Linked DNA regions of Rhinolophus ferrumequinum. The protein of the gene in region 4 interacts with the protein of the main gene of each other region in a pairwise test. Links are inferred from orthologs where the notes say so. Each region holds a gene or a part of one and is shown on either strand. Other genes may lie near its edges. The genes, in order: RANBP3, NUTM1, BEND3 and MORN4.

Region 1 (6,866 bases), on a different chromosome or scaffold from region 4:
GCCCACGAGAGGAAGATGAGAACTGAATTACAGCTCTGAAGGCCCTTTTTCCTGGAGCCTGACTGCAGAAGTCATTTGCCACCTTGGCTGTGGAAAAGAAAGTTCACAGTTCTTAAAGCTCAGCTCGGGCTCAGGCGGACCTCAGACTTGTCTTCTGGTAAACCAACAAGGAAGCAGCAGGCAGCAGAGAGGCCAATGAGCCGTTTAAGGTAAACCATTTAGATCCCTCCGCTTCCCACTTGCGATCCTGGTACTAGGACAAACTCCAGACTCCTCGCTGTGGCCTACAAGACCCTGCCCACCCCTTCCTGACCGCATCTCCTCACTCTGCCCTGGCTACACTGAGCTCCTCCAGCTAACCAACCTGGTTCCTGCCCCAGGACCTTTGCACTCACTGTTCTGTCTGGAAAATTTCTCCTGCAGATCTTCTACTAAAATGTCACCACCCAAGGGAACTTCCCTGACCAGCCAATCAAAAGTGTCCCCTTTCTGTCACTGTCACACTAATGCTGTTTTCTTTGTAACACTAGTCACTATCTCAAATTACTTTGCTTACCTGGCTATTGTCAGTCTCCCCACAGCAGAATGCAAAGCTCTGGGAAGGCTGTCTTGTTCATCCTGGGCCCCAACCTGTAAAGCAGTTCCTGATGCAGAGCAGGTCTGCTCTGGATATATTGCTGCGTAACAAATACCCCCCCAAACTTAGTGGCTTATAACAGCAGCCATCATTTATTTTTCATGGTCTCTGTGGGTGAGGAAAGGGATGTACTAGGCTGGGCAGTTCTCTCGGGATTTGTGGTCTCAGCTTCCTTACGGCATGGCAGCCTCAGGACAGTTGGACTGCTTACACGACAGCTGAAGGATTTAAGAGCACGTGTTCCAGCAAAGCAGGCGGAAGTTACATCCTCTGTCCCTGTTATGACCTCACCTTGTAGGTTAGTGTCATTTCTCCAGTACTGTTATTGATTCTCCAGTTCCGTAACAAGCACAGCCTCAAAGGGAAGGGAACAGAGACCTCACCTCCTGCTGGGAAGTGAGTCAAAGAATTTGGGGCCATATTTTAAAACCACCACAGCAGGTGATCAATAAATATTTGCTTAATAAATAAATATTGACTAATTTGTTGCAGACCAGATTTAAAAAGCAAAGGAGGCCTAAGGGGCCCAATGTTGGCAGCTGCTGGCACTGTGACGAGAATTGTGAAACCAGTGGAAATTCAGTTGGCCTGCTAGCATCCCTTAATGTGCCTTGAAAAACCACAACTGGGTTATATTTAGCAAGTGATGACATGTTGCTGGGAGTTCCCCAAAATGTGGGATGACTGTGGCGTATGAAATGACTTTAGGAGACATGTAGACATGGCATTAAATGACACCAAATCACATGGATTATAGTTATCCCATTTTCAATTCTCTTTCACGCCTTCTCATCATGTCAAGGAGAAAGTTCAGTTGACTGCTAATATGCCTAAATCCCTCTCTAATACTTTTGCTAATCTCTCTTTACATCAAGGAAAAAGCAGGCTTGGGGCTCAGCACCTTGGCAGATACAGTATCTACCCAGAATTTAAAAACCTTGTTTTGTTTTCCTGTTTATTTCTACAATGATTTGTTATACATAGCTTTGTGGTTTCCTATTTTTTGTGTGTGGTTTTCTATTTTAAATGGTGACATACAGTATCTATTTAATGTAAATTTAAACCCATAAAAAGGCAAAAATATTAAGTTCATTCAAGGTCAGAGGGTTCAGATTCAGCAAAGGCCAAGGAGACTTACCCAAGAGAAGTTACATGTAATGAAATATAATGAATATAATGAAACCAAGAAGTTAGAAATGAGAAAACCTGAGTCCACGCGCTGCGGGCCACCAGATGGACTTGACGATCCCCGGGGACCTTTCCAGCATTGACCTTCTAGCTATTCCTGGAGAATTTCTAACTCAAGGTCTGTGGATTGTGCTTCTAGCCTGGTGGGAAAATCTAGGGTAGCAGAATTCGTGTGTCTATTAAATAAAGTTGAGGGGAATTTTTAAGAGTTATTAAATACACCCCCATCCCCAACAATACCAAGAAAATCAGCACTACAAACCAGGGTTCAATTTATTGTTTTATTGTCTTCTAGACTTAAGAGATAGGAGAATATCAATAAGATTTATAATAAACTATACACACAGAGACATACATACATACATACATACTGCACACACATTCTCCCTCAGAGCAGTTGTTTAACACTTACCACCCCCCCACTGATTGTACAGATCTCTACAGGACAACAATGTAGATACATGTGTCCTAGATTAGAGGTTGGCAAACTTCTATAAAGAGCCAGACAATAAAATTTTAAGTTTTGTTGGCCAGACAGAGTCTATTCAAAGGACTTAGCTTTGCTGTCGTCGCTGGAATCGGCCACACATAATACATAAATTAAGTATGGCTGTTTTCAAATAAAACTTTATGGACACTGCAATTTAAATTTCATGCGATTTTCACATGTTATGAGATATTACTCTTCTTTCTTTTCCAACAATTAAAAATACCATTCTTCGTTCACAAGCCAGATGTGTCCCATAAGCTCTAGGACCTCCTGGTTTAGATCACTCTGGAGGAGGCGTGGAACGGGGATTCAAACCTAAACGAGACATGGGACACAGTTCCAAGCAGAGGGATCAACGAAGGCCAAGATCCCGAGGCTGGAAGGACTTTGGTGTGCTCCAAGGATGGAAAGACCCATGTGGCTGAACCGCAATGAGCAAAGGGAAGCACGGGGGCAAAGCACAGCGAGGGGGCTGTGTAGCCTCGATAAGAGGTTTAGGATTGATTCTTAGCAGAAAGCTCCTTGGAGGCCTTAAGGAAAGATGTGCCCCTTCATCTAATTTTCATTTTTTAAAGATTCCTCTGCGTGCTGCTGTGTGCGGAACAGAGACTGGACCTCTGGAAGAATGAAAGGAAGGAGAGCAGGGAGAGAGGGAGCCATCCAATCTTCCCGGAGAAAGATGAGGATGGTCTGGCCTGGGGTGAAGACAGTCCAGCTGGTGAACGGGTGGATCTGGGCTGGATTGTGGAGATGGGGCAGAGTCCACAGGGTGTTCTGAGAGAGTCATAGCAGGTTGAGTCAAGAAGGAGTCCAGGGTGTCCAACATTCTCACATCCGCCTGTGGGATTGATCAGCCCATTTTACAGAAAAACTGGAGGCCCTGCTCCGCGGCAGGCGTTGTTCCCTTCAGAGCGTCAGGGTCTGGAGATCCTGGAACTCCCATTCTGGTGGCTGGGGAGAGACCCTTGCGCTGGGTCTCCCTTCCCTGTGCCCCCCGACCCCCACTGACACACACCCCTTTGGTCAGTAATGTTTAACCTCTGACCTCTGCTACCCCCCCAACCACTCCCACCTCCCCCATGTGGCCTCAAGAAAGCATTTGCCCAATGTACTTGCCCCTTAGAAGGGGAAGCTTAAGCCTGGGGTGACAGGGAGCCCCAAAACTGTCCAGCAGGCTTGCCCCTCTGGCCTCCAGGTTGCGCGTGTGGAAAGTACCCCCACCACAGACCCAGGGATTTACCTAGAAAAAGGCCTCGATCGCAGCACCCTAGATGGCTCACTCTCCCACCACGGGGATCCCCCGGTAAACAAGCAAAAAGCAGAGGCGTCAAGACCCAGTGCCCGCCGTGCACGCTCACAGAACGCTCGTTCCGTATTGCCCGCGACGCGCGGGAGGGCCACTGCGCATGCGTCCTGCCCTGTCCATACCCCCTCGATCGGCGGGAAAAGGAGGCGGGGACGGTTAGGGCGCAGGCGCGTGCTCACAGCTGGGCCAGGCCAGCCCGCGATCCGGAGCTCGACTCCGCCCCCGACTCAGCACGCAGGCGCGAGCTGCCCGCCTCGCTCGGAGTCGGCTAGGGAAGTGCGCACGCGCGGGAGTTTCTGGCAGAAAGCAGGCGAGCCCGGGCCGGCGCGGGGCCTTGTGGGAGGGCTTAAGGAAGTAAAATGGCGGACCTGGCGAACGAAGGTAGGGGAGGCGCCGTCGGGGGCCAGCTGGCGGTCAGGGAACGGGCGGAGGGAGGTCCAGGGACCACAGGTCCGACGGGTGAGCACCCCAGAGTGCTGGGAACCCATCTTCTCTGGGATAGTGGCGCAGCGGGCCTCGCAGCCGCCCCCCATTGCGTCCCTCCAGGCCGGGCTCACCAGCCCGGCCCATCACTCCCGGCAGCCCCGACCCTGCCACAGTCCGGCCAGAGAGCCGGGGAGGCCGCTGGGGCCGCGGCTCTGAGGCCCTTCCGCCTTGCGGACCAGGCCGTAGGCTGAAGGGGGTGGGAGGCGCGGCGCCAGCGCCTCGGCCTCGGATGTAAATAGACTTCTGGGCCTGGTGGTGGGCCCTGCACGCCACCCTCCCTCCCCGCCCCCTCGTTCCCAGGGACCGGGGCTTTCCCCCTTTCCTGGCCTGGCTGCGGAGCAGGCCCACCCGCTAGTCCTGGGGGTTCTCATCCTCCGCGGGCCTGCCCAACTCCAAAACAGAGGACGCCAGGTCTGTTTTCACCCCCCACCCCGAACTCGGCCCCCAGTTCTCCCGGTTCCGTCGTGGTGACCTGAGAGTCGCGCCTCGCCTCCTTGCATTTTAGGCCCGGCCGCAGGATGTGGGCCGCTGAAAGCCCTGATTTCTCTTTGGCCCTTTTTGCTGCACTTTCAGAGAGAGACACACACAGAAACTGTGTGATTCCCTCCTCTGCGGAGCGCTGACATCCCACCTGAGCGTTTTTGACAAGGTTCCAGTTGGAATCCCCCATAGAAAGCACTCCATAAGCCGATGTCTGCTTAAATCAACAGTGGTGTTGGTATCGCTGTAGCTTCAGGACTTCCGAGGCCTATTTTTAGTTCCCTCCGTTTCTAGGTGCACAGCGACCGGCGCGCTATTTCCCTGCCTGGTCCTGATTCCCTCCCTATACCATGCTCCCAGCTATCCAAGGGTATCCTGAGGTTTCCAAACTGAACTGCAGGAATGCATGAATGATAGTGATAAATGCTCACCCTGGTGGAGCATTTGGGATGGTACCAGATATTGTTCAAGTCTTGATCACGGTATGTTACCTTGGTTAATACTCATCCTCAGAAACTCCATAAAGTAGGTAGGTAGTGTAGTTCCGTGCACTTGGTGAGGACACTGAGTGACTAAGTTACTTGTCCAAGGCAGGCCACACAGTAAGGCACAGGGATGTGAATCAATGAGGTCTGGCTTCAGAACCTCCTACCCCCTTAATCTTACAAAAGATATGCGCATAAAATATGTCCTTTTATGCGCATATCTGTTGTAAGATAAGGGAGCCCATAGAAGATTGAGCATTCCATTCATAAGATCCATTTAAAGGCCAAAGAGGGACTGGACGAATGGGAATCAGTATGATATAACTGTACATTTACATCTTCGGCCCATTCAATTTCTTGATCTCAAGACTCGCATATCCAGCATCATATTCAGCATCTCCATTTGGATGTCTAATAGGCCTGTCAAACAAAATCCCTGTCTTTCCTCCAGAACCTGTCCATTCCACAGTGTTTCCCCCAGTGTAGTAAATGGCAAGTCCGTTCTTTGAATCAGGCCAACACCTTGAAGTCACCCTTGACTCCTCTCTTTCTCTTACACACCACAGCAAATCTTGTCAGTTCTTCCTTCAAAACATTTCCAGAGGGTGACCACTTACTACCAACACTGCTGCCCCTTGGGCTTCCCTTCCACCCTTACCCATCTGTCAATTGCTCAACCCAAAAACCAGAGTGGCCCCCCCATGCCTCCCTGGCCTCTTTTCCCACCACTCTCTCGCTGACTCTGGCTTTCTCACTGTCTCTTGAGTGGTCTCTATACTCCCTCCTTTATGCCTTTGGACCTGCTGGTTCCTCTGCCTGAATCAGTTTTACCACATTTATCCCCATGGCCCACTCCTTCACTTTTTAATATTTAATAATATTACTTTATTATTGAGACTTTCTCTGGCCACCTATTTTAAATTGTATCCACATTCCCTATCCCCTTTATCCTACTTTATTTTATTCCACAGCACTTATCACCATTTGGCATGCTAAGTTTACTTGTTTGTTCAACTGCTACCCTTCTGTTAGAATACAAGCTCCATGAAGGCAAAACCTTCTGTCTGTCATCACTGATGGGATATCCCTTATACCTAAACAGTTCCTGGCACAGAATAAGTATCCAAGAGATGTTTGTCGAATGAATGAATGAATGAATGAATGAATGAATGAATGAATGAATTCATCAGTGAGGACCTTTATTGTGAGGTATACTTTGAGCATAAAGGGAAAATTACAGATTCCTATTTTCCAGGGATACCATTTCTAGCATATACGTTGACACATGAGCTGTCAATTGTAAATTGCATAGTCGAACAGTAAGTGTAAAATAGAGAATGGAATGTTTTGTACTTAAAATTTTTGCCTAATACAGGCCACACTCACCTACCGTGTTTCCCTGAAAATAAGACCTAACTGGAAAATAAGCCCTAGCATGATTTTTCAGGATGACATCCCCTGAACATAAGCCCTAATGCATCTTTTGGAGCAAAAAGTAATATAAGATCCGGTCTTATTTTCAGGGAAACACGGTAGTACTTTGCCTTTGATACTAGTTCTGTCATAGTTGTCCTCAGGAAATCAACTCTGTTTATGCTTCACATACCCCTGCCGTCCTTTAATTGGTCGTTTCTTGACTCCATTTGTGGATTTGGCTTGGATGTTTAATTTCTTATCCACTGTGTAAGCTAAGATTCCTTGCCGTGCATTTTGAAGCTTTAGGGACTGCCCCATCAGTGTGCTTTCCCTCTTGCTATTTAAGCTCCAGACGCCCTCTTGGCTTCTGTCTTTCCA
Region 2 (7,874 bases), on a different chromosome or scaffold from region 4:
GTGCTGCCTAGGCCCTTCACCTCAGCAAGCTTTACCACCTCCCCATTTTGATTTGAATTCTCCTGAATAAAATAGGGAGCGGTGGAGGAGGTGACGCACAGAAGGTCCTTTGTCTGGTCCCGCACCATCCTCTCCCACAGGAATGAGTCACACCTTATCCTGGCCCGTTAGAATGGCTCAACTCAATGTCCGAAGGTGTTAAAATAGAATGAGAGGACCTGGCACTTAGTGTCAAAGACCCAAGTTCCAACCACTGCTCCTCACTGTATGGTAGGAAACCTCTCTGAGCTTCAGTCTTCTCATCTATAAATGAGGACTAAATGCTTGCCTGAACTCACAGGGTTGTGAGCATCACTTGAGAGCACACAACTGAAGGCTTGCTAAAAACTGAAAAGGCTTATCGTCATCATCATCATCATCATGCTTTTGGTACTCAGAGCATCTCTCCATCACCCTCATGACCTGCCCTTGAATATTCCTATAGCGTAACCTCTTCTGTCCATCCCAAAGCCCTCCTTATTGAAAAGCCCTAGGATAATTAATCTCAGGTCTCCCCACTTACATAAGAAAGCAGGAAAGAGCTTCTGCATCAGGACTCTGGGATAAGTGCATCCGGGCCAAGGCTTTGTAGCACTGCCAGCGTCGGAAGTTCTCATAAACACCCTTGGAGGTACAGGAGAGGTCACCCAGTGAGGGCTGGGATTGGGTGGCTGGCAGACCTCCTCCAGTTGCCCCATGTGGCACAGGCCAAGCGTTTTCCGGGCACACAGGGAGAGCCAGTTGGGAAGCTGACGGTGGAGTCTGAGCAGGAAGGCCTAGGAGGCCCTCCTGGCTCACTCCAACAGCCTTAGTAGCTAGAAAGGTCTTCATGTTAGAAGTTGTCACAAACTGAGGAGGAGGACCTTCGAGGCCCCCAGAGGGAGCACCTGAGGCAATCCAACTGAGGGCAGTCTGAGTAAGGATCAAGTTCTGAGTTTGAGAGGCCTCAGCTGGCCCCCCTTCTGTCTTGATTTTGACAATGACTTTGCCAGCTCCAGCCCCACTGTGGCCAGGGCCCCCATCCTCTGTCACCAACATTGGGCTAGGGAAAGCGGAGAGCATCAAAGAGTTGCCTGGAGGGAAAGCTGAAGGCATAGGGGGCTGTGCAGGCAGCTCCCAGGGTGGTTGGTCTGGTGGGCCAGGAGCAGGTGGGGGAAAGGGAAGTGCCATGAAGGGAGATAGGGCGGTGCCAGGTATCATGGTCATATCTGGTCCAGGCAATGGAGATGCTGTTGAGACAAAGAAAAAGAGGGAGTGCAGTAGGAGAAAAGCAGACCAGAAGCTACATTATCAGAGTTGCACTTCAGTTACTGAAAAATCAGAGCTCTGATTCTCAACAGGTAAGGAAGGGTATATATGGAGGGGAACGTCTGTAGTTTGCAAGTGATTTTGATGTTCCTTACTCCCGGTTGGAAATCATTGCACTAGAGAAGTAGCAGTGACTCTTGGACCCATGAGCTCATACTCCATAACACGTCCCACAGAGGATACAGGTACATCTGGAATATATAGTCATACAAATTCCAAACCCATTCAAACCACCTGAACTCTGCTCCCAGCTGGTCTGTGGTCCTTGCCACCACTCACAGAAGTGCTGTTCCCAGGAGAGGGTGTGTGGATCAGATGTTTGGTTCTCAGAAATTTTGTTATATAATAGCTAAAAATGACTAGAGATAAGGGCCAGGATATGGACAAGGGGAGGGCTGTGTGGGGAGGGAGGTTTCCAGAGCTTTAAGTAGCTGGTGGACACGTTAAAATTTGGCATTGCAGACTATCTGTGGTCCTCCAGCTTGGATTCCCTATCAGAAATATAGGATCCACCAAGAACAAGGCACTGACAATGAAGTCTGAAACAGTACCTGCTAAGAAGGAGCTTATGTGGGCTCTTGTCAGAGACCGAGGATAAATACATAAAACGTTACTTAATCAGGACATGTGTCTCCTAGGACTTTTTATAATAATAATAGATCATCTGCCTAATTTCATGCTACTCTCCTCCCCCTCTTATAAAGACTATTCCCCTGGCAAACTAACAACACTCAGCTTCCGCTCCCTGACCATGAAAGAGACACGGAATATGAGCAAATGTGTCATCTCGACAACAGAGCAGAGGGCCAGGAGTATTCCATGAAGTTCGGATGCAATGAAATAGGACTGAAGGTGTGAGCCTCACAAAAAAATAGAAAAACTGAGAGCTTCTCAGGGAAGCCCCAGCTCTCATTCTGGCTGGAGTGATCCACCTCCTCTAGCTCTGGGGGAATCAAGGAGAACTCCTCCCTGAACTGAAAGAGAAGCCACCTCTGGGGCTGGAAGGAGCCATGAGGCTCTGAGCAGAGGCACTTATAGTACCTTCCAGTCTAGCTATCAGGAAGGCATTTCTCCACAGACTTGGCAACAGATAACCCCACTGAACAGCTTCTCCAGCTAAGACCTCCACCCCACCCTGACCCCCCAATACATCGAGAGTGACCCCAGCACAATTCTCTCAGGGGAAAATTCTAGAACAAGCTCCAATTACCAAAAGAAGACCCAGAATCCTGGGACTTCCACTTGAACCCTCTCTGTGCCACACATACCACTGCCCCTGCCACACAAACACATGTTGAACGGGGTCCCTCTTCCAGAGAAGCAAGTTGCTAACTGCCATCCCTTCTCTATACTCAGCACTTTCCTCTGAGGTACTTAGATCTGCATCCCAGAGGGCCCTCTTACTTCCCCAACCCCCAGTCTTTTTTTTCCCAACCCCCAGTCTTCATGGCACAAACTTATTTCCCAGCCTCTCCAAGTGTGATTGTTTTTTTGGTAGCATCTATATTCTCATGTCCCTCTAGGTCAGTACAAAGACCCCTATTGTCCCCAGGTAAAGTGTCAAATTTGAATCCCCAAGGATGTGGCAGGGGGTGGGGTACCCTCTGCATCACCTGCAGACTTACCTCCATCTGAAGTCATCCTCTCAGGTTTGGACACTAGCTGTGGCTGTCTGGAAGCCTCCAGAATGAGACAGTCAGGTTGAGGACCCAGAGAGTAACCTGGCTCCAGTAGATACACAGGGATCCAAGGAGGAGAGGATAAAGATCAGATCAAAACAGAACTGGAATCTAGAACTCAAGGAAGTCTGCAGTGGGGGAGGGGATAGGGGAATGTGGGGCTGGGGTAGGGAGATATTCGACAGCAGGCTCTGGTAAATTGGCAGTAACCAGGAATTCCCACCAAACCAGAGTTTGGCAACACAATTGTTGTCTACCTCTTTAGGGCAATTTGTAAATTTTCAGATTCCCAACATTATAGTTTTATTAGTACATCTCCGTTCCCTACACAATTCTTCACCAGTATATTTAGTTTTGTGCCCTTAAATCCCACCCAGTTCTGTAACTGACTTCCTATTAATAGAAGGTTGTGGCAGACCCTTGATTTAATTCAATGTTCGCTGTATTTTCTGAACCAAATTCAGAACACACAGTCTGTGTACTTAAGGATCTGGAGAACGGAGTGCTTGAAATTAGGATTGTCTGGGAAGACCCAGGGTGTTTGGTTGCTGTATGCATATCATTTCCTTGGAAAGCTGTCCTGCAGTTCCCAAATAGTCCACCATCAGCTCTGCAGTCCACAGAAGGTTTAGCCTTAACCCTTGGTTGAAAAGCCCCATTCTATCAAAGACAGGCATTCAACCTAAAATTTCAAGGCCAAAAAGTCCTTTTGTTTGTTAAATTATTTTTGTTTAAAAATTTTATTAAATAATTTTAATTTTTAAAGTGGGAACTACATTAGCATGGGTCTAAAGTAAAACTATACAAAACAGTGTACAGCGAGTCTCCCTCTCCCACTCTTTTCCCCTGGAACCAAGTTCTTTGTTCCCAAAGAAACCAATATTATGTTCCTGTGAATCCTTGCAGAGATATTTTATGCACTGCAAGTAAACACGTATTATCATTACGTTTTACGTTTCTTTAAAAAAATTTTTTTTTCAGGTTTCCTGGTTATAACATTAATGTATATTCCAATGTTTTTGACATTATAAATAATACTGCAAAGGTCATCTTTGTAATATTACCTGGGCTCCAGTTTTCATTTCTTTAAACTAGAGTCCTATAAGGAGAATTTCTACACGTTCTTTAAAACATTCGAAATAACCCCTAGAAGGTACATCTTATTATGCTATTATTAGCTACTCACCACTATAAGCGCTGAGTTTGTGGTAGAGAGACCTGAGTTTGAATCTTGGTTCGATCACTAAAACATACTTCACCAGTTTCATAAAACAACTTCACGCTCTCTTTGCTGTGCAGAATATTAAATACCCATCATGCACTCTTTACCGCCAATATTTTGAAATAGGGCCGGAGAACCGGATAGAAAAAGAGGGGAGGGAAGAAAAACCTTCCCTCTTCCATAAGGTAAAGGGGCTCTGAATCCTGGAGCTCTTTGTTTCTCAACGCACTATAAATCCACTGCCCCTGATATGGGTGTGCATCTTGCGATAAAGACAGGATTCTATTCACTAATGTTCAACTCATATCCATCCCTATCCCCCTCTAACGCCTAGCAGTGTCTGGCACACAGTGGGCACCCTCCATGTGTTTTAGAAGGCCTACAAAGTTGCAACTGGGCACCAAAGTCTACAAGGTTGCAACTGGATTGCAACTGGGCCAAGTCCTGCACTAGTGCGCCCCCTTCTGCCCAGCTGGAAAAAAGCCTAAAATGAACTACATTTCCCAGCATACCTTGAGAGAGACACTTCCGGCTACACAGGAAGGAAGTTGGCAAACACGAGAGACTGTTAGACTGAGCTGCTGACGGAATTCGAGCTTCTGTCTTCATCGTGGTCATGTTTCTCCAGTATTACCTCAATGAACAGGGAGAGCGGGTCTATACCCTGAAGGTAAGAAAAGGAAACATGTAAATAGGCATGGCGAAAAGTGGAGGTGGGTGGAGCGGTTGAGACCAGCCGCGGAGTTGCCTAGCTGAGTGGGGGGAGTTGGAAAGCCCAGAAGCCAGGCGTGGTAAGGTAGTAGCTGGAGTGTATGAGTGCTACTTTGACCGTCGCGTCTTCTGTCTTCCTTATGATCATTTTCCGCGCGTCCCCCTCCCCATCCCAGCCTCCATCTCCTTTATGACGCCAGTGATTGAGTTTTCTCACCACACCTGTACTGAGATTATGTTCTCTCTTCCTGGAGCAGAAGTTTGACCCCACGGGACAACAGACCTGCTCGGCCCATCCTGCTCGGTTCTCCCCAGACGACAAATACTCTCGACACCGAATCACCATCAAGAAACGTTTCAAGGTGCTGATGACCCAGCAACCGCGCCCTGTCCTCTGAGGGTCCCTTAATTTCATGCCGCCTGCTACCCCTCTGAGACTTTCCGAACCCAAGCGCTGCAATCTGTGAGCCTTGATGCCTTGTTACCACCCTTTCTTTTTGGAATCTGGTGTCAACATTACCTTTGATCATGTTTGTGCGAGGCAATCATGGTAGCATACACCTTAAAGGGAACAAGTTTGAATCTTCTTTTCCTGTTTTGACATACTGTCTGGTTATTAAAATGATTTGAAAGAGCTCTTATTTTGTATGTTGTGGGAAGAAGGACGTGGTTTAAAAAAACAAAAAACGAAGAGAGATGGGAGGGAAGTGTACCCAGGGGCACAACAATACTTGGAAGAAAATCCTAAGTCGTTGCTGTAGCAGGAGTAGTGCTGTATTAGTGACAGGAGGGTGTTGGGGAAGGGAAAGAAAGGTTGAGAAAGATTTACATAATTGTCAGCATTTACAGAAAAATACCCCTGTTATCATTCCCCTTGAAGTGACATTTTGACTTAAAATGGAAGAGTTGCTTGAAAATAATAGCAACCATATTGTAGAGGGAAAGCAGTGAATTGGAAGTCAGGAGACCAAGATGCGCTCCTCTCTGCATAACTTTAAGAAAGTCACTTAACCTATTTAGTCCCAATTTTTTCTTCATTTCTAAGTTCTCTTCCAACTCTATAACAGATTGGGTTCAGTGGCGGATATATATCCACAGTGTTGTTCCACCATTATGAATATGAATGCCTCTGTGCATATTTACTGCTCCTCTGGAAATAGTCGCAGTCTTTTAATTCTCTCCATCAAGGAATTGTCTTACATACACCTAACTTTATATTCTCTCTGGGAGCTAGCTGCTATGTGGAACTCTACGTGGATCTGAATTTAAAAGATGAGGTATGAGAGATTGAAGTGGAGATTTTGTTTTTCAAGCTATCGTTGGTGGTTAATAACAAAAGAAACCTGGGAGATTTTTAAGGATTTGAGCTTCTGTCAAAGGGCAACCATAAATTTTTAATTCAATTGCTTTATATTAGAGGGATGATGAGGCAAAATATTGTATACTGGCTGGCATTCAAGAAATGCTAGCTTGCTTTTACCTCACCTTGTCAAGTTAATCCGCTCATGTCCCCAATCATCTCATTCATGGCTTTTGACATTGGATTTGAATGTTTGCTTAATGCCACAGATTTAAGAATTGCTTTGTGGAGATTGTGTTCTAATTTTACAATCTTCTTTTTCTACTGCATCAAGATTCTAGACTCCAGAAGCAGATGTAACTTATCTCAGCACAAATTTGATTTATCCAGACTGGCCCTGCAAAGGGATAGATATGTTTCTCTTGGAATCTGATGTCTGACCATCCCAGCAGAGAAGTTCAGGATAGTTGTTGACTGCTGAGAAAAAAAGAAAAAATATCTAAACTTGGGTCACAGTTAATAGAAGACATGATTTTCAAGTCAATTATTTACTTAAACATATGGGAATGGTGAAACAAAATATTTGTTTCCTGTCAATAATTTTTTATTTCTTAGCCTAGTCACTTACAGGTTCTTAGCATTGGATCTGAGGGATTTTAAAGACTTTTCTTGCCCCATTAAGGGGATAATGATTGAAGAAATATTAAAAATTCTGCAAATGGCTAGAAAAAGCAGCTGCTGAGCAGATGTTTCCTGGCATTGTTGTCAGTTTTGAGTCAAACTCATAAAAATTCAGAAGAAAAAGAAAAAGGATCTGCTCTGGAAGTTTCTTAAGCACCAAAATCAATTAATCAAATCTGCTACCAGTATTTTTTAATGTTGACAGTAATTCTGTCCTTATAATTTACTCCTCCTCCCCAAAGAAAGATTAGCTTTGTTCCATGCTACATTCTGTGTAGACTGAAATGAGAAGACTAACATGGAAATATTCTGAATTGAATTTGAAAAGAAAGGCAAACTGGTTTGAATATACCAAGGATTTTTCCTTGGTACCCTAGGTATTAACATTTGAGACGTGCTCAGAAATGGGAGTCTTAAGAGTTATACTATTAGGTATTAGGTAGTATATATAAGTTAATGAAAACACTCTGTGTATGAAGCAAAATTGGTTGTAGAAAGCCAGCATTTCTTTGTAAGGGGAAAGTCTTTGAGATTTGAATGAACAGGCCTGCCTGAGGAAAAAAACATCCCTCAGGGAGGTGACTTTCTTGCTGCCTCAAGGTAGGAAACGGAGCCTTATTGGGCGAGGGTCTGAGTTCTTTAGGATGGAAACTTATTTTCTCCTGAAATTAATATCTCCACGCAATTACCGTAAACTTACACTGTAAGAAAAACAACAACAACAAACTGAGCCTGAATTAATAGGCACAAGCATTATAAAGCACCTAGTTTTGAGGGGGTTTACATTTTAAGTGGAGATTATTTCTCATTTTGTTATGTGGATCTTTTTAACCAGAGTGTGGACTTTGTGTGTCATTTGATAAAAGGGAATTTCCTGGTTCAGGTCTTAAACACAGTTCTGATTTTATTACTAAGGATGATGCTTAAAACATTT
Region 3 (6,850 bases), on a different chromosome or scaffold from region 4:
CCACTAAAACCAGATCCTAATGGCTGTGTTGGGTGCATCACATCTCAAGCTGCTATAAATTATTCAATAGTTCTTCTACACATAAGAAAAACTGCCCATCACAAATTCTCTGCAGCTTTTCATTCTAAACCTCATTTTTCGCCTTGTGTCATTTACCTGTTCCGAATTCCACTGAAGGTAGTTGTTTCCCCCCGACAGCACACAATGGGTCAAACTCAACTCCCCGAGCCCAACTTTCCAACCAAAAGTCAGTTTTGCAAGTTATTTAGCAAGGTGTGTCTTTCTATAAGTTGTTTTAATAAAGTTAATACATGCCTCTCCGCCCCTCCTTTTTTTCCCCTCTTACTTCTGTTTTGAGTAGTTACAGAATCTGGATGTGCCAGCAACTTTGTTTGAAGTTGAAGACTTGGCAAAATTATGCACCCAGCGTGCAAGAAACAAAGTGAAAATGTCTCACAAATCACAGTGAAATCTGTTGCGTTGTTTTAAGACTTAACTAATGAAGAAAAAAAAAGCCCTAGTAAATATTGTCTTGGCAACTATATATTTTAGCAGTGATAAAACCTTTAGAGGAACAGTTAAAAGATAATCTGAAACCTAATGTCTGTCTGCCACTTTTAATGATATATATTTACATTATATCCCACTCTTTTTGCATTCGAGTTTTTAGTGTTTTATAGGATTCCTTTATATGACCAACAAGCTGCATTTACTCAGGTAAAATTGGAAATGAGTTCATTAGATCAGTTGCAGCAGCTCTAATTTGAAATCTTGGAAAATGCATTTCTAATTAAGAAATTTCCAATCAAGCAGACCTCTAAAACTCAGGTTGGTGTTTTTTTCAGGTCTTTCTGCACATCCTTACGAAGCCTGGTCTATCATTCCTCCTGACTTTTTAGCATTGGGTTGGACAGAAATTGTGTTTTCCCTTCCTCATTCCTCTCCTCATCTTACTCCATGTTTATTCATATTTTTTCCATAAGGCATTACTATTAGCCAATAGCACTTTCAGAACTATTCATTTTTAAGACTCCAAAATACAACTGCAAATACAACTATTCCAATGCAGGGGGTTACACCTTCATGTACTATTTTCCCTTCCTCCTGTTAAGACAAAAACCACAGGCCTAAAATGGCATCACTTGTGCTAAAAGCCCATGACACGAAACCTAGATTTAATATCTGATCTATTTACAGTTTCAACCTTTCCCAGAAATATAATCTTAAACAACCAGTCTGGAATTTTCTGGTCAAGCACCAGTAAGGTAAGAGGCAATTTGCATGATAAAAACCTTTCCCATTCCCCTCCCCCCAAAGATGTCCTGGCCTAAAAAATAATCCTTTCTTTTCTTTTGTTAATAGTTTCCTTATCCCACCCTTCTTCCTATAAAATCCTTCCAGTTTTGTACAACCCCTGGAGCGCCTTTTTAGTTGCTAGATGGGGGCCCTGCCCAATTCATGAATTGCTTAATAAAGCCAATTCTTCAAATTTACTCAGTTGCATTCTGTTTTTTAGCTCATTAAAAAAAGAAACTCATAATATACAAAATCATTTGAAGGTAGGTAGTTTCCTTTCTTAGATAGCAATGATTTCTATTTCTGTTAATAATTTATTTGGAATAAACAGCTTGCTTTGTTAAGTAGATTGATCCAGTTGTGTAAATTAGGATACATATTTACAATAATTCTCAAGGTCACTTTGTAATTTCTTGAGAGATGTTTTGAAGTCAGTTATGTCAATTAAGCATCTTGTTTGCCTTAGATGCTATTTTTTAGTAAAATTATTGTATTTGAGAAAAATCTTTGGTTTCAAACAGTATGAACAAAGAAATGTTAATTTCTATTATTTAATTCCTATTGTCTTTTATTATTTAATTTATCCTTAAATACCTGAGTTGTCACTGGAACGACTGACTAAAGATAAATGCTTCACAACACACATTTCATCTAGTTCCTTTTATAAAAATTTAACACGGTCATTTTACATTTTTAAACCACTTTGCATCCACTTTAAAAATGCTAAGTGAGCTCAAATACGTCTTAACTCTTCCTAACTCTCCTACTGGGAAACCTTAGAAAACTGAACGAATGAAATGCAACTTATACTTTTTAAATTCTAATTATGGCTGTCATATTAAATTGAAGGTGAGACTGCTGTATCTGTATAAGTCAAGCGATGTACTACTATATCATGTGTTATTTAATGTGCGAGTGTAAAAGTCAAGTTCCCGGCAGAAATCCAAGTGCCTCCATTCTGTCTTCTGGGAATGTATAAATTAACCATTCACCCCCAAGCGGTCCTCCTCCCTTCCTCCCTCCACCCTATTTTAAATGTAGATAGGGGACTCAAGTCTTTTGAATTTGAAGGGCTGCTTGCTATCTCAGCCCCATTCTTTTCATCATCCTGTTTTGAATGACACTGAGCACGTATAGATTCTTTTATAAAACCACTCCCTCGGTGCAGGGCTCCGTTCTCCTGGCAGCTTGCTAATTTTGCATAGCCATTAGTACTGACTTCTCAAAATGGGCTACCAAATACAGTTCGAGAATGTTCCACGTAGTTCTTCAAAGGTCTTGAATAACCCAGTGCTTTTGGATTTCAAACCTGAAGGGGAGGAACTTGAATAATTACTAAATTCCCAGTTGGAGTGCTCTGGAGGATAAGGTAATCCAAAACTATACGTTAAATCAAACCCTCTCCGCGACTGGGCAGCAAGGAGCCAGCATAAGCCTTATTTTAAAATCTATTCTACCTATTCAGTGACCACACAGGGCTGGGCCACATGGTCGTGTCTTGCAGCCAGTCAGCTGTGAGCAGCAGATGGGATCATTTGCATTTTTCTTCTTATACTTTCTTCGATCGGCAAATTAAAGTTTCTTTTTTAAATTTATTCTCGTTATTTGCTTAAAGTATAAACGTGGTTTAACTGTTGAATTGGGCTTCCTTGACCCTCACACACCACACCCCTTCAAGTCTCTGAGACTTGTGAAAATACTCGAGGGGCAGGTTGCATATTTATCAAGTCGAACTCTCCCATCCGGGAGTTAGGAGTTTAAAGAATCAGCCTTTATTGAAATGGTGACGCGTGCTTTTCTATTTTAAGCGCTGGGCGCAGATATCCCGTGGGTTTGTCTGGCATGTGGGTCTGGGAGCGCGCGCACTTCTGAATCTCTCGCTCTGCAGCCTCAAACCTTAAAACTTAGGGTTACAAGTAAAAGGCAGATGTTTAGCTCTCAGGCTCACAACAGAGGGCGGCCACTCCGCTGGGGGAGTGGCCAGAGCCAGCGTTTCCCAGCGCCAGGGTCGCTCTCCCGCGGCCCGCGACTCCATGCCGGTTCCGCCGGGGCCACTGGGGTCCCTGCGCCCCGATGTCTTTGTGCCGAGCTCGGCGCGGGAACACCCGCCCGGGGGGGCCAGGGCACCGCGGAAATGCCAAGAATTCGGGACTGGCGCTGGCTCTAGGGGAGGTAACGCCCCGCACAGTCGCCGTCCCGCGGAGAAAAAAAAAGTAGAAAAAGAGGCTTTTCAGGTCAAACTCCTCGGGTCTGAGCAACCACGTTTTAGAGAAATGACTCGCGGGGGGAGAACACACAGAGTGCCGAGGACATTGTTAGCCAGCGCTGCCCCAGCGCGTCGTGGGTACGCGACCGCTGCCCCCGCCCGGGCAACCGGCGCGGGCCCACGTGGAGCAGCGCGGCGCCGGCGGAGCGCGCCGGGCCGCTCGGGTCCCTGGAGTGCGCGCCCCAGCTCCCCGCCGCGGCCGTTCACGCCCGAACGCCGCCGCCGGTCCCGCGTGTGCCCCGCTGAGGGGGAGGGGCAGGCCGGGGGTGGGGGCGGAGGGGTTGTGGTTCCACTGCAGCGGGGGCTCCTGTGTCCTTGTGCGGAAATGACACACGGAGTCCCGTCACGTCACGCGAGAGCGCAGCGCACGGACACACACAAAGAGAGGGGAAAATACACGGCGCCCGCCCGCCGCCCCCAGCAACTCCCCGGGCCGCCCCGGCCAGGCCCTCCGCGCGAGGCCCCCACTCCTCAGCCCTGCGCTCCCCCGCACCCCACGTGGCGCCCAAACTCGGCGCGGGCCCGCTCAGCAAAGTACAGAACTCGTGTCCCAGGTAAGTGCGGGGCGGATCAAGCCGGCTGCGCGGTGGCGGCGGCTCCAGGGCAGACGGACGGGAGAGTGGCTGCAACATCCATGCCGGGGTGGGGGCGGGAGCAGGGGAGGGGACGAAAAGGGGGGCTGCCCTAAGCGCGCCCGCCGGGAGGAGCGCCCACCCCCACGCAGGGCCGAGCCGCCGGAGCGGGCGCTCGGCGCCCACGGGCTCACCGCGCCCATTGTGCCGCGCGCCCCTTTGTGCCGCTCGGAACGCCGCGGCTCCATGGCGTCCCCGGGAGCACGCGCGCCGCGCGGGGGCGGGGGGAACGCGGAGTGGAACGGTCCGTGCTGGCGCCGCTGCGCGCCCCACTCGCGCCGCACGCCGGCCCAGCACCCCCGCCGGGCGCCGCGATGGAGCGGCCGGCGCCGCCGGAAAGGCTCTGCGGAGCCCGCGGGGGCTCGGCGCTCGCGCTGGGCCAGGCTGCAGCGGGGGACGGCTCGGCGTGTAGAAGGGGGTGTCAGAGCGGAGCAGGGGGCGGGGACTGGAGCGAGATGCCGAGCGGGGCGCGGGAGGCCGGAGGAGCCGCCGCTCGGAAGGACGCTGCTTCGGGAGTCTGTAAATGGAGCGAGGCCGGCCCGCGGCGGCGGCGGCGGCGGCGGCGGCGGCGGCGGCCGGGAGCGGACGGAGATGGGCCCCGCCGCCAGGGGGCGCAGCGCTCCGTCCCGACCGTCCACGGCGCGGTTCGCGGTTCCCGCTGCCCGGGAGCTGGAGGCGGGCCCGGCCTTGGGTGTGCACCCCGGCTGGCGCAAGGCCTTCCCGTCCGGCCGCGGACTGGAGCCTGGGGCGCTCGCCGTTGCTCCTGCCTGCCTTTCCCTCTCTATTGCAAACGTGATTTCCCACGCAGACTTTGCCCTCGCCTTATCGGTGAGTTGTGCAGTCCTTCCTGTAAGGACTTGTGTACCGAGACACAAGGTGGTTTTTCAGAGGTAAGAGTTTGATTGCTCAGGTGGCTTGTCTGGAAGAATTTTACACACCAACGCTAACCAGACAAGAGTGCGCAAAATAGGGCTAAGCACTTGAGAGTCGTAAATGGTCAATTTCACCTATTTAAAGTAACTTGAATGCTTAACGTGTCACTACACAACACGTAAGGTGCCAGAACACTACAGCTGCAGGAAACTGAGGCAAGGAAGTGAGCTCTTGCTAGCTCTGTATGTAAGCTTGAGGAGATGGAGGAGGTTCTTTTGGTGTCCACACCCCTAACCCCACCCCCGAGTTTATTTTTTTAGCCTACTGTCCCTAGTTTATGGTTTTGTATCACCATATAGGACCCTGTCTGCCTCCTTCACTCTCAGTACTGAGTTTTGCACAAGATTTTGTGTCTTAACCGCTTTACATCCCCAGTCACTAACTTAGTAGGTGCTCAATAAGTATTTGCTAAATGAATGGAGAGCCTCTTGGATTCCAGAAGAAAGGTGGGGTCAGTGCAGCCTGAACCTGCTGGTGGGTTAACCCGTCTGCATGGCCCTTGAACTGAAATTCACAGATCAAACCAGAACCTTTAAAATCTGACACTCAAAAACTCCCGCCACTGAATGTGGTTGTTACCAGAGATGAAAAGTTTGGGGGTATGTAAATTTTATAATGTAGAAACACATGAAGGTTTCCAGCCAACCAGCAAAAGCAATTTAGTGTTAGTGTAGGGGAGGTTGGGGTGTAGCATTTTTTTCTGGCACTTAATTTTGATGACAAGTGGTGATTATGGTTGCTACCCTTATTTTTCATTGTGCCCTTTATTGGCTAAATAAGTTTGGGGAATTATGTATAGAATTAATCTTTGGGGTGACAACTTTTTTATAGCCTCCTCTCGCTCGTGGTTACAGGGATGTATACATGTGTCCTTTCATAGAACTGTACATTCCTCTCTCCCCCAGAGTGAATTTTACTATATAATTTAAAAAATAAAATTTAAAGTCCCCAAAAGCACACATGCCCAAAACATGGATATTTTAATGTGCTTTGTGAACATCACCTTGCTCTTGCTGTGTCTTTTCCCCTCCAGATTGGACAATTGCTCTTCTCCCCCTTCTGATGCTCCAGTATCTCTTTCAACATTATTATTTCAGCCCAGAGCCCTTGTGGTTTCTGGAACTACCGTGTTTCCCACAAAATAAGACCTCACCGGAAAATAAGCCCTACTATGATTTTTCAGGATAACATCCGCTGAACATAAGCCCTAATGCGTCTTTTGGAGCAAAAATTAATATAAAAGCAGGTCTTATTTTTGGGGAAACACGGTAGCTGCCACACATGACCCCCACATGCCAAGCTAAGAGCTCTCCGTGCTGGCTGGCACCAAGCCTTCGGTGTGTCACACAGGAGACGTGCTGGTTCCCTCCGAGTGATGGTTACTGCCTGGCATGTTCATCCCCGAATGACCAGACTTTTACAAACTGTTGCTTTAGAGCTGAGTTGTTCTCAGCAGCTCTCCTGGTAACATGCCCTTCCTCCATTTTTCATCCAACTTGAAACATAGGTATTTAAATTCAGCCCTCTTAGTGTTTTGTTCTACCAAGGACCACCTTTCCTCTTGTCTGATTTTCAGTTATCATTGGCCAGTGAAACACAGTTGCATCAGTATCTATAAAGGTATTGGTTGCTCAGTTGAACATCACTTAATGGTCTTTTCTTGTATGCAAGAGGCTGTTGGTTTGAGCATGGAGCTAGTAAATAAAAGGATGGAGGCTTGGGG
Region 4 (7,950 bases):
ACTAGTGATGTAATCTGCTTGATAAGACAGACCCCTGACCTTCCCCTAAGGGAAGGTAAACTTGCCTGAAATAATCCATTCTTTTGCCCCACACTCTTTCTGCCTATAAAAACCTTTCAGTTTGTACAACTCCTCGGAAATACCTTTCTATTTTTACTAGATGGGATGCTGCCCAATTCAGGAATCATTCATAAAGCCAATGAGATATTTAAATTTACTCGGTTGAATTTTTGTTCTTTAATAACCCTAACTATTTCAAGGAAGCCAATGAAACCTGAAAGATTATGTTCTTATAATCAAATGTGACAGACTGTATTTTCTAAAGATGTTTGCAAACATACCTCCTGTCTTACACATTCTTCTACAATTAGACCCTGCCATTGCCCCACCAAAAGTGGACTCTAACTCCTTTCCTTTGAATCTGTGTAGGCTTATGATCTTATGATTGTTTTGACCAATAGAACATGATGGAAGTGATGGTGTATTCTGAAATTAGATCATTAAAGGTCACGCAACTTCCATCTTGCTCACTGGTACACTTGTGCTGGGAGACCTGAGCCACCACATAAGAAGTCTGACTACCCTGAGGCTACCAAGCTATGAGGAAGCTGAGCCACACCGACAGCCACAGGTATTGGTGAGCCGGTTGGCAGGTCTCATCTTTGAATCATCTTAGCCCAGGCATCAGGTGTGAGTAAAGGAGACTTCAGATGACTCCAGTCCCTCTGCAAGCCATTAAGCCTGATCACATCTGAGGTATCTGTGAGCAACATATGGTTGTTTTAAGCAGCTAAGTTTGGGGTAATTTGTCATACAGCAATAGGAACTGGAATATCATCTCTCAACCTAACCCTGCCACCATCCTCTCCTATTTGTTTTCAAAAGTCCATACTGTACTACAAATTTCCATTCCTTTTTGATCTAGGGAGGTAGAGCAAACTCCCTTCAACAGTTGCCTGTCAAAGTGATGTCCATTCCCAAGAATATAATCAGAAGTGCTAATTAAAGGGAACACATGTTGACTCCATGAGTTTCAAGCCATGGTTGAACACACTTGACTAGAAACTTCTACCTATGTCCAAATAATGGATATTGTCACTGCCTGGAATAGTGTCAGGATTTTTCATTTATGACTTCTGTAATCAGCCATGCTAATTAATGGTCAGCTGCATAGCCACTGACCCAGAAAGAAATTTCACCAGTCACCATGGTCATTGAGACAAATCTAGCTTAAAAAGTATAGTTAGTGCTGATGAAGATTGAAAACCCAATACTTTAGCAAATCAGTACGTGTATCAGTTATTCAAAAAATCTTTTTAAATAAAATGGAGGGCCTATGAGTTTAGGCTTCAGCTATACAGAGTCAAGATAGTTCATGCTTCTTCTAAACAAATACCCACCCTTCTGCTCTCTTGCCGGATGGGTTGCAAAGGATCAATCCAAACATCTATCTGAAAGGAAATTAGTATTTTGTCCGTGTAAACTAATACACTATTAGTCTGCACAACAGACTATATCCCTGCTAGTTTTCTTTTCTCCTGACCCAGACATTTCCAGATAGAAGTTGGAGGCAGGAATGGTAACTTTTGTTTCCATTCCGTTCGTCTTTTTTTAAATTTTAGAAATCAAACTTGTTAAAAGAATACGTATGCTTTCATAGTAACCTGTGCCCCAGTTCAGGATTAAAAAAAAAAAAATTCACATAAAGGGGAACAAATTTTCAGTTTGAGAATATTGTTTGGGGGCAGCCACTTTACCCACATATACCTTCAACACTGGCCACCCCCTCCCAAACCACCCCTCCCAAAGTATAACAGTCTTGCCAAAGTTCCTTCAGTTATAAAGAAAGCAGTTTTTAGGCTTTCAGACTCCTAAAGACAAGAAAATGAAGGTTTTGATGAACAAAGATTAGGTTTGGAAGAAACCCAGAAGAAAAAGCCAAACGTTCTTTTTCTCCCCCCCCTTTCTTCCGCCCCCTCCGCCCCACTCCCGTTCAAGTCGTTGTTTCTCAGTCTAGTCAAACGTTCTTTTTAAAGTGTTTTACATGAGCTTGAATTAACTGTTTTTATAAGTCTGTACGTCTCTTTTACTGTAAGTCTCCCTTCTATTAGAAAAGTAAACTAAATGTATCACTACTAAAGTTCTTATTTATGAAGACTGTGGGACAGTTAGATTGAAGAAACTGAGAAGAAAATCCTGACACCAGAAAGAAAGTAAAAAACAAACAAACAAACAAACACTCGGGAGTAATGGGGACTGCCAGGATACCATTCTAGTTCATGGTTAAGGAAAATGCCATGGTTAAGGAAAATACTACAGTAATATAGCCGAGTTACTGCTGCTGATACCTAAGCATTTCGGTGATGCCACCATGCTGGGATGCTACCATCAACTAACTGAGGCATCCCATTCCCCAAGACTTGATGTGTGGGGACATCTCCCCACGGGAGTGTGAGAGAGGCGGGCCCAGAGCAAACAAAGCCCTAGATGGCAACAAGGCAACACTTTCTGGTCCACTTCCCCTTTCCTTCAACCACCCATTCGTGCCTTCCAGCATTGCTCTTGCCCTCTACCCGGGTCTGCTTTCCCTCCCGGGCCGGATCTTCTGCTCGCACAAGGTCTGCCATCTGCTCCAGACACAGCCCCCAACCACTCCGCTCGCTAACCCCCGTGCCACGGGCGCTCCTGGGCTTCGGCACCCAGCGGTGGAGACGCGAGGCCCGGTTTGGGGACTTCGGGGCAGCCGCCCTCCGGTCAGCGCGTCGAGCACGGAGCCGCGCTCTCCAGCCCATGTCATCTAGGGCTGGGTTCCTCGGTCCCTTCCTCACCGATCACACTGTCCCAGCCCCTTCCAACCCGCACTGCCAGCCAACCTGGGCTCCGCCTTTCTGGATGACGGTCACGCCCCGACCCGGGGCTCCAGCAGCCCGGACCTCCGCTCCGCGGGGTTCGCCCCTGCCACCTGCCTCTCCGCCACCTCCACCAGTGCCTGCCCCACTTGACGCCGCCATCCCGGGTAGCCGCACTGGGCACAATTCCCGCTGCCCATTGGCTGTTACCTAGGCAACCGGGAGCAACGCCATTCTCCATTGGCTCAGCCTGGATTCGGCGCCATCTTTGTGCGGGGCGAAATGTCTCGAGAACCCCTCTCAAATATCCGAAAGAGGGGTGGGGCTGAACTCCGGGTTCCTCCTTGGCAATCCTGATGAGAGAACTCGGGTCTCGCCTACCCCGCAACAGCCTAGCCAAAATGTGAAAACCAAACCGAACCAAACCAAACCAGCGTCAGACACAACAGTGACCACCAACTCAAGCGGCTTCGATCCTGCGCGGATCTCCATGGTTGTAAATGGCCCGGCCGCGGAGTTAAAGGACAGAACCTAAACACGGCTTTTGAGGTGCAGCTTTGTAAATTGCAGCGCGTTGGACAGGGCAGCTGTAGTTCAATGTGTGTCGACTCTATGCCAGCACTGTGATATCAGGACACGTTTGCATTCTTTGTAGGGATTTGTGTTGTCGATGTCGTTACCCAGGTCCTTTGTCTTTAAAATACCGTGCCAAGATTGGAGCAAATCCTCCAAAATACTGCGCACGCCAATCCGTTTATCTATATGTTTATTTACTGAACAATGGGAATGCAGCGTGCTGCTAGGTTCTGCCAGTCTAGAAAAGACATGATCACTGTCCTCATGTGACTTACTGCCCAAGTGTGGAGAAGAAAAGATGCATGCACGTGGAAAAATCCTAGACTATATTTAACTATTAAAAGAAGGCAAACGCATGAAGAGAGTAAGCAAATTGTTTCTCTGAAGTGAGATTTTTCTTCATTTGTACGATGGAAAATTATAACGATGATGATAAAGGCAGCCTAGGACTTGTTTGAGAATACAATGTCAAATGCTCAGTACTATGTCTGAGAAATTGCAAGGGCTCACTAAACAGTTTTAAAAGACTTGGATTCTGTGTTCAAATCCCTGCCACCAACTGGGTGTAGCTTCAAGCGAGTTATTAAACTCACAAGCCTGTAAAATAAGATTGGACTAGAAGACCTATAAAATTCAATCCAGCTCTAACACCCAATGGTTAAACATGATAAAATTGTGTGGTATTGACTATTGATATAATTACAGCAGTTGAGAGAATGGAATGTTAAGAAATCAGATTGGAGAGTCTGTATTAGAAAATATGAAGAAATAAAGTTGTGGTCAAGTTATAGAGAAACCTGAAAAATTAGAGAGAGGGTATGGTTTGCAAAATGTAGTTTCTTGAATAGGCAAATTCACAGAAAGTATTAGGTTGGTGCAAAAGTAATTGCAGTTTTTGCAATTATTTTTAACCTTTTAAACCACAATTACTTTTGCACCAACCAGTAGAATAGAGGTTACCAAGTGCTATAGGAAGATAGAGTTATTGTTTAATGAATACAGAGTTTTTATTGTCTTGATGAGAAAGTTTGGGGTAGAGACAGTAGTAATGGTTACACAGCATTATGAATGGATTTAATGTTACTGAATTGTACACTTACGAATGGGTAAAATGATAAATATTATGTATATTTTGCCACAATAAAAATGTAGTTTCTTGACCAGAGCAGTGACACAGTGAAACCAGTGTTTTAATAAAATTATTCTGGCAGTGATACACAGAGATGATCAGAAAGAAATTGGAGGGGGTGCGGTGTTATCACTTTGTGAGGGGTATAAATGTCTTAACTATTACATTGTTTTGTACACCTGCAACTAATAATAATAATAATAAAGAAATTGGAAGCAGAAAACAAATTCAGAAGCTATTGTAATAACATAACTAAGACATCCTGGAATGTGGCATCAGTGAAGATGGAAAGAAGGGGGATAAATATGAGACATATTTTGTAGAGGTATTTAATAAGAAACAATATAGTGTGGAACTAGTCTGCTTGAATTTGGATCCAGCTCTGCCACTTCCCAGCTGCATGACTATAAGCAAGTTATTTTATTCAGTTTCCAACATCACAGGGGCTGTAATGCTAGTTATATAACTTACTCCATGTAATGCACTTAAAATAATATCTGGCACATGCTTATCATTTGGTAAGTGCTAAGTCTTCATAGGTAATAGGGAATGTATTGACACTCTTTTCGGTAAAAGGAAAGTCAAGTTCTGAGAAGTAGATGCTGAAACATATTATAAGGGTTTTCCATAGAGAAAACTCAGAATTCAAGGGAGAACTCTAAATCTTGGAGCTTTCCTTGACCATAATTTGCAGCTTAGGGGCTAAATAAGATAATTAATACAGGAGATCATCTCTGTGGCTGTGGCCCCTAGGACACAAAAGGCAAATATTACTTAATTATTTGGCGTTTGGGTAGGAAAGGGAACTACATGTCTTGTATCTGAAAGGGGGTAATTGAACCATCTGTATGGCCATTTGCTAGAATGGTTTATTTGGCAAGAAAATGTTTAAGACATTGCCATAATATAACTAAACAATTCAGTACTTCTAGTTAGCTCTGCCAATAATTTGATTCAAGAAAGAATTGTTGAACAAACTAAAAAAGAGTCTGGAGGCTTTGGCTAGAAATAAATGATAATGATTTATTTAAGGGTCTTAGGGTTTACAAACCCAAAACACAACTAGGCAAAAACCCAGAAGTATTCTGAAGAAAAAAAGGAAAGTTAAGAGTTCTTATAGTAAAAAGTGCATTCTTAAGAATAATCAGTTCTGTATTCTTAGCCCTAGGATTGGCCCAGGGTGGTTATCAGTCAGCTATCACGAGATCTGGATGATGGATGCCATGTGATCTGGAAGATGGGTGCCAAGAGGTCTTGTCACATCCATGGTCTGGATAATAGATGTCAGGTGGTCTAGATATGTGAGTCTTTCAGGCGTTATCTGGAGGTTTGGTGTATGTCCATGAACTGATGTATATCCAGGCATTGATACAGGACTAGAAAGTTCAAAATTTAAGTTCCCAGGCTAGTTCAAACAAGAATAGACTAATGTTCTCATGCCTCAACCAACTTGATTTTAGTAATTTAGCGGCTTGACTATAGTGACACCATTTTATTTCTTCACTCTGTTCTCCAGAATGATTATGAAATATTGTTTACTATGTGGCTGGTCACCAATTGTGAAAATCCATGCTGATTACTTTAAGCACAAAACCAAAAGCATCAACAATAACCTCAGCAGTGATAAAAATCTATCATTTGTTGAGTGCTTTTTAGGTACGAAGTGCTATAAGTTCTTTACATATTTATCTTGCTTCTTATTTAATCAATTGAAGAGGAGATGATTATTCCCATTTTATAGATGAGGAAGCTGCGGCTTAGAGAGTTAAATAACTCATAACTAATAAATGTGAAGCCAGGGTTCAAACTCAAATATCTGTGAGTCCCTCTTTTCTCCCCTTTTTCCCCCAGTGATTTAATTACATTCTTCCTTTAACAGTTAGATCATAGCACATGCCCCACTTAAGGCCTTTACTGACTCTCCAGCCTACCTCCAAATTGCTGAACTCCTATTATGGAGTTTTCAGCACTTATTGTTGGCTCTTTTTCTCCTACTGCGTCAGAGAGCTGTGTGGCTTCAGCTTGAGGGCAGGGACTATATCATCCTTCTCTTTTTCACTGATAACCATGTACTGAGCATCTACTGTGCCTAGACACGGAGGATTTACAGTGATAAATAAAATAGTCATGGACTCTTACCTCATGGAATTTTTGTCTGATAGGACCATGTATTTCCTCAATTAACAAACATTGAGCTTTGGGCCAGGCACTGTGTAAGCTGCATGAGGGCTGGGATTTTAAAAAAACAACAACAGACCTTTTTATTTAGGTAGAGCAGGGATTTTTGTTTGTTTGCTTCACTGCTGCCTCTCCAGCACCTAAAACATAGTAGGTGCTCAATAAATATTTAATGACTGCATGATTGAATAAATGCAGATACAAAGATTAGATTTTTCCAGTCTTACAGCTAGTTCGTAGCAGGCACGCAATAATTAGTGACTGATTAAGTAGGCTACTTTGAAAACTCTCATAGATAAGTCAGCGATTGAAAGCTAAGGCGCGGGCGGGGCGGGGCTGGTAAGAACTGAGGGCTCGTCTGACCCAAGTTTGTCTCCTAGAGCATGCGCAGTCCTCACAGAAGGTGGCGAGCAAAATATGCGGAGGACGGGATTGCGTAGGCGCTGGTTCTGATTGGCTAGTGTTAGCGCGCGAGGGGTCGTGCCTACGCGTCGCCAAGTAAACAGGGTAGGTAGGGGCGGGGCCAAAGAGGCACCGCGAGCTGGTTGGCCCGGTGGGGTTTGGAGGTATTGCGGATTGGTCCCGGACGGGATCTCAGCTGTATGCAGCGCGCCGGGTCCCGGAGCCGGCGGCCTGAGGGATGGACGAGACGAGCCCACTAGTGTCCCCCGAGCGGGCCCAACCCCCGGACTACACCTTCCCGTCCGGCTCTGGAGCTCACTTTCCGCAGGTGCCGGGGGGCGCGGTCCGAGTGGCGGCGGCGGCCGGCCTGGTCCCGTCTCCGCCGGGCTCGCCAGGCCACGACCGGGAGCGGCAGCCACTGCTGGATCGGGCCCGGGGCGCGGCGGCCCAGGGTCAGACCCAAAGTGTGGCGGCGCAGGCCCAAGCCCTGGCCGCTCAGGCCGCGGCGGCGGCGCATGCCGCGCAGGCCCACAGCGAGCGGAACGAGTTTCCGGAGGACCCCGAGTTCGAGGCGGTGGTGCGGCAGGCAGAGCTGGCCATCGAGCGCTGTATCTTCCCGGAGCGCATCTACCAGGGCTCCAGCGGAAGCTACTTCGTCAAGGACCCTCAGGGGGTGAGAGCGGGGTGGGGAGGGTGGGCCTGTTCAGGGGAGTTTAGGGTTTCGCACAGCCAGAGGGAGAAGGCCGGGGGCGTTGAAAGAAAGGTTGCAAAAGGGATAAACTTCACAGTGCGGAGCCCCTTGGCAGGATTTTGGAA

The links.
Region 1: the proteins of MORN4 (region 4) and RANBP3 interact in a two-hybrid assay, tested with the Homo sapiens proteins (2 studies listed by BioGRID). The two-hybrid records come from large-scale screens. The link is inferred for Rhinolophus ferrumequinum from reciprocal best matches to the Homo sapiens genes MORN4 and RANBP3.
Region 2: the proteins of MORN4 (region 4) and NUTM1 interact in binary tests that used the Homo sapiens proteins (3 or more experiments, as listed by UniProt). The two-hybrid records come from large-scale screens. The link is inferred for Rhinolophus ferrumequinum from reciprocal best matches to the Homo sapiens genes MORN4 and NUTM1.
Region 3: the proteins of MORN4 (region 4) and BEND3 interact in binary tests that used the Homo sapiens proteins (3 or more experiments, as listed by UniProt). The two-hybrid records come from large-scale screens. The link is inferred for Rhinolophus ferrumequinum from reciprocal best matches to the Homo sapiens genes MORN4 and BEND3.

The regions. Positions count from the first base shown.
Region 1 is NC_046301.1:58,229,997-58,236,862, forward strand, and holds the start of RANBP3 (ran-binding protein 3), read left to right. Parts: upstream 1-3,857; 5' UTR 3,858-3,980; coding exon 3,981-4,002; intron 4,003-6,866. UniProt on the Homo sapiens protein: Acts as a cofactor for XPO1/CRM1-mediated nuclear export, perhaps as export complex scaffolding protein. Bound to XPO1/CRM1, stabilizes the XPO1/CRM1-cargo interaction. In the absence of Ran-bound GTP prevents binding of XPO1/CRM1 to the nuclear pore complex.
Region 2 is NC_046289.1:70,959,492-70,967,365, reverse strand, and holds the start of NUTM1 (NUT family member 1), read right to left. Parts: upstream 3,004-7,874; 5' UTR 2,989-3,003; coding exon 2,973-2,988; intron 1,269-2,972; coding exon 563-1,268; intron 1-562. Other genes in the region: NOP10 (H/ACA ribonucleoprotein complex subunit 3), read left to right, coding at 4,865-4,918, 5,217-5,357. UniProt on the Homo sapiens protein: Plays a role in the regulation of proliferation. Regulates TERT expression by modulating SP1 binding to TERT promoter binding sites.
Region 3 is NC_046286.1:60,222,850-60,229,699, reverse strand, and holds the start of BEND3 (BEN domain-containing protein 3), read left to right. Parts: upstream 1-3,839; 5' UTR 3,840-4,116; intron 4,117-6,850. UniProt on the Homo sapiens protein: Transcriptional repressor which associates with the NoRC (nucleolar remodeling complex) complex and plays a key role in repressing rDNA transcription.
Region 4 is NC_046299.1:26,201,572-26,209,521, reverse strand, and holds the start of MORN4 (MORN repeat-containing protein 4), read right to left. Parts: upstream 3,012-7,950; 5' UTR 2,874-3,011; intron 2,807-2,873; exon of another isoform or gene 2,667-2,806; intron 1,452-2,666; 5' UTR 1,401-1,451; intron 1-1,400. Other genes in the region: PI4K2A (phosphatidylinositol 4-kinase type 2-alpha), read left to right, coding at 7,373-7,807. UniProt on the Homo sapiens protein: Plays a role in promoting axonal degeneration following neuronal injury by toxic insult or trauma.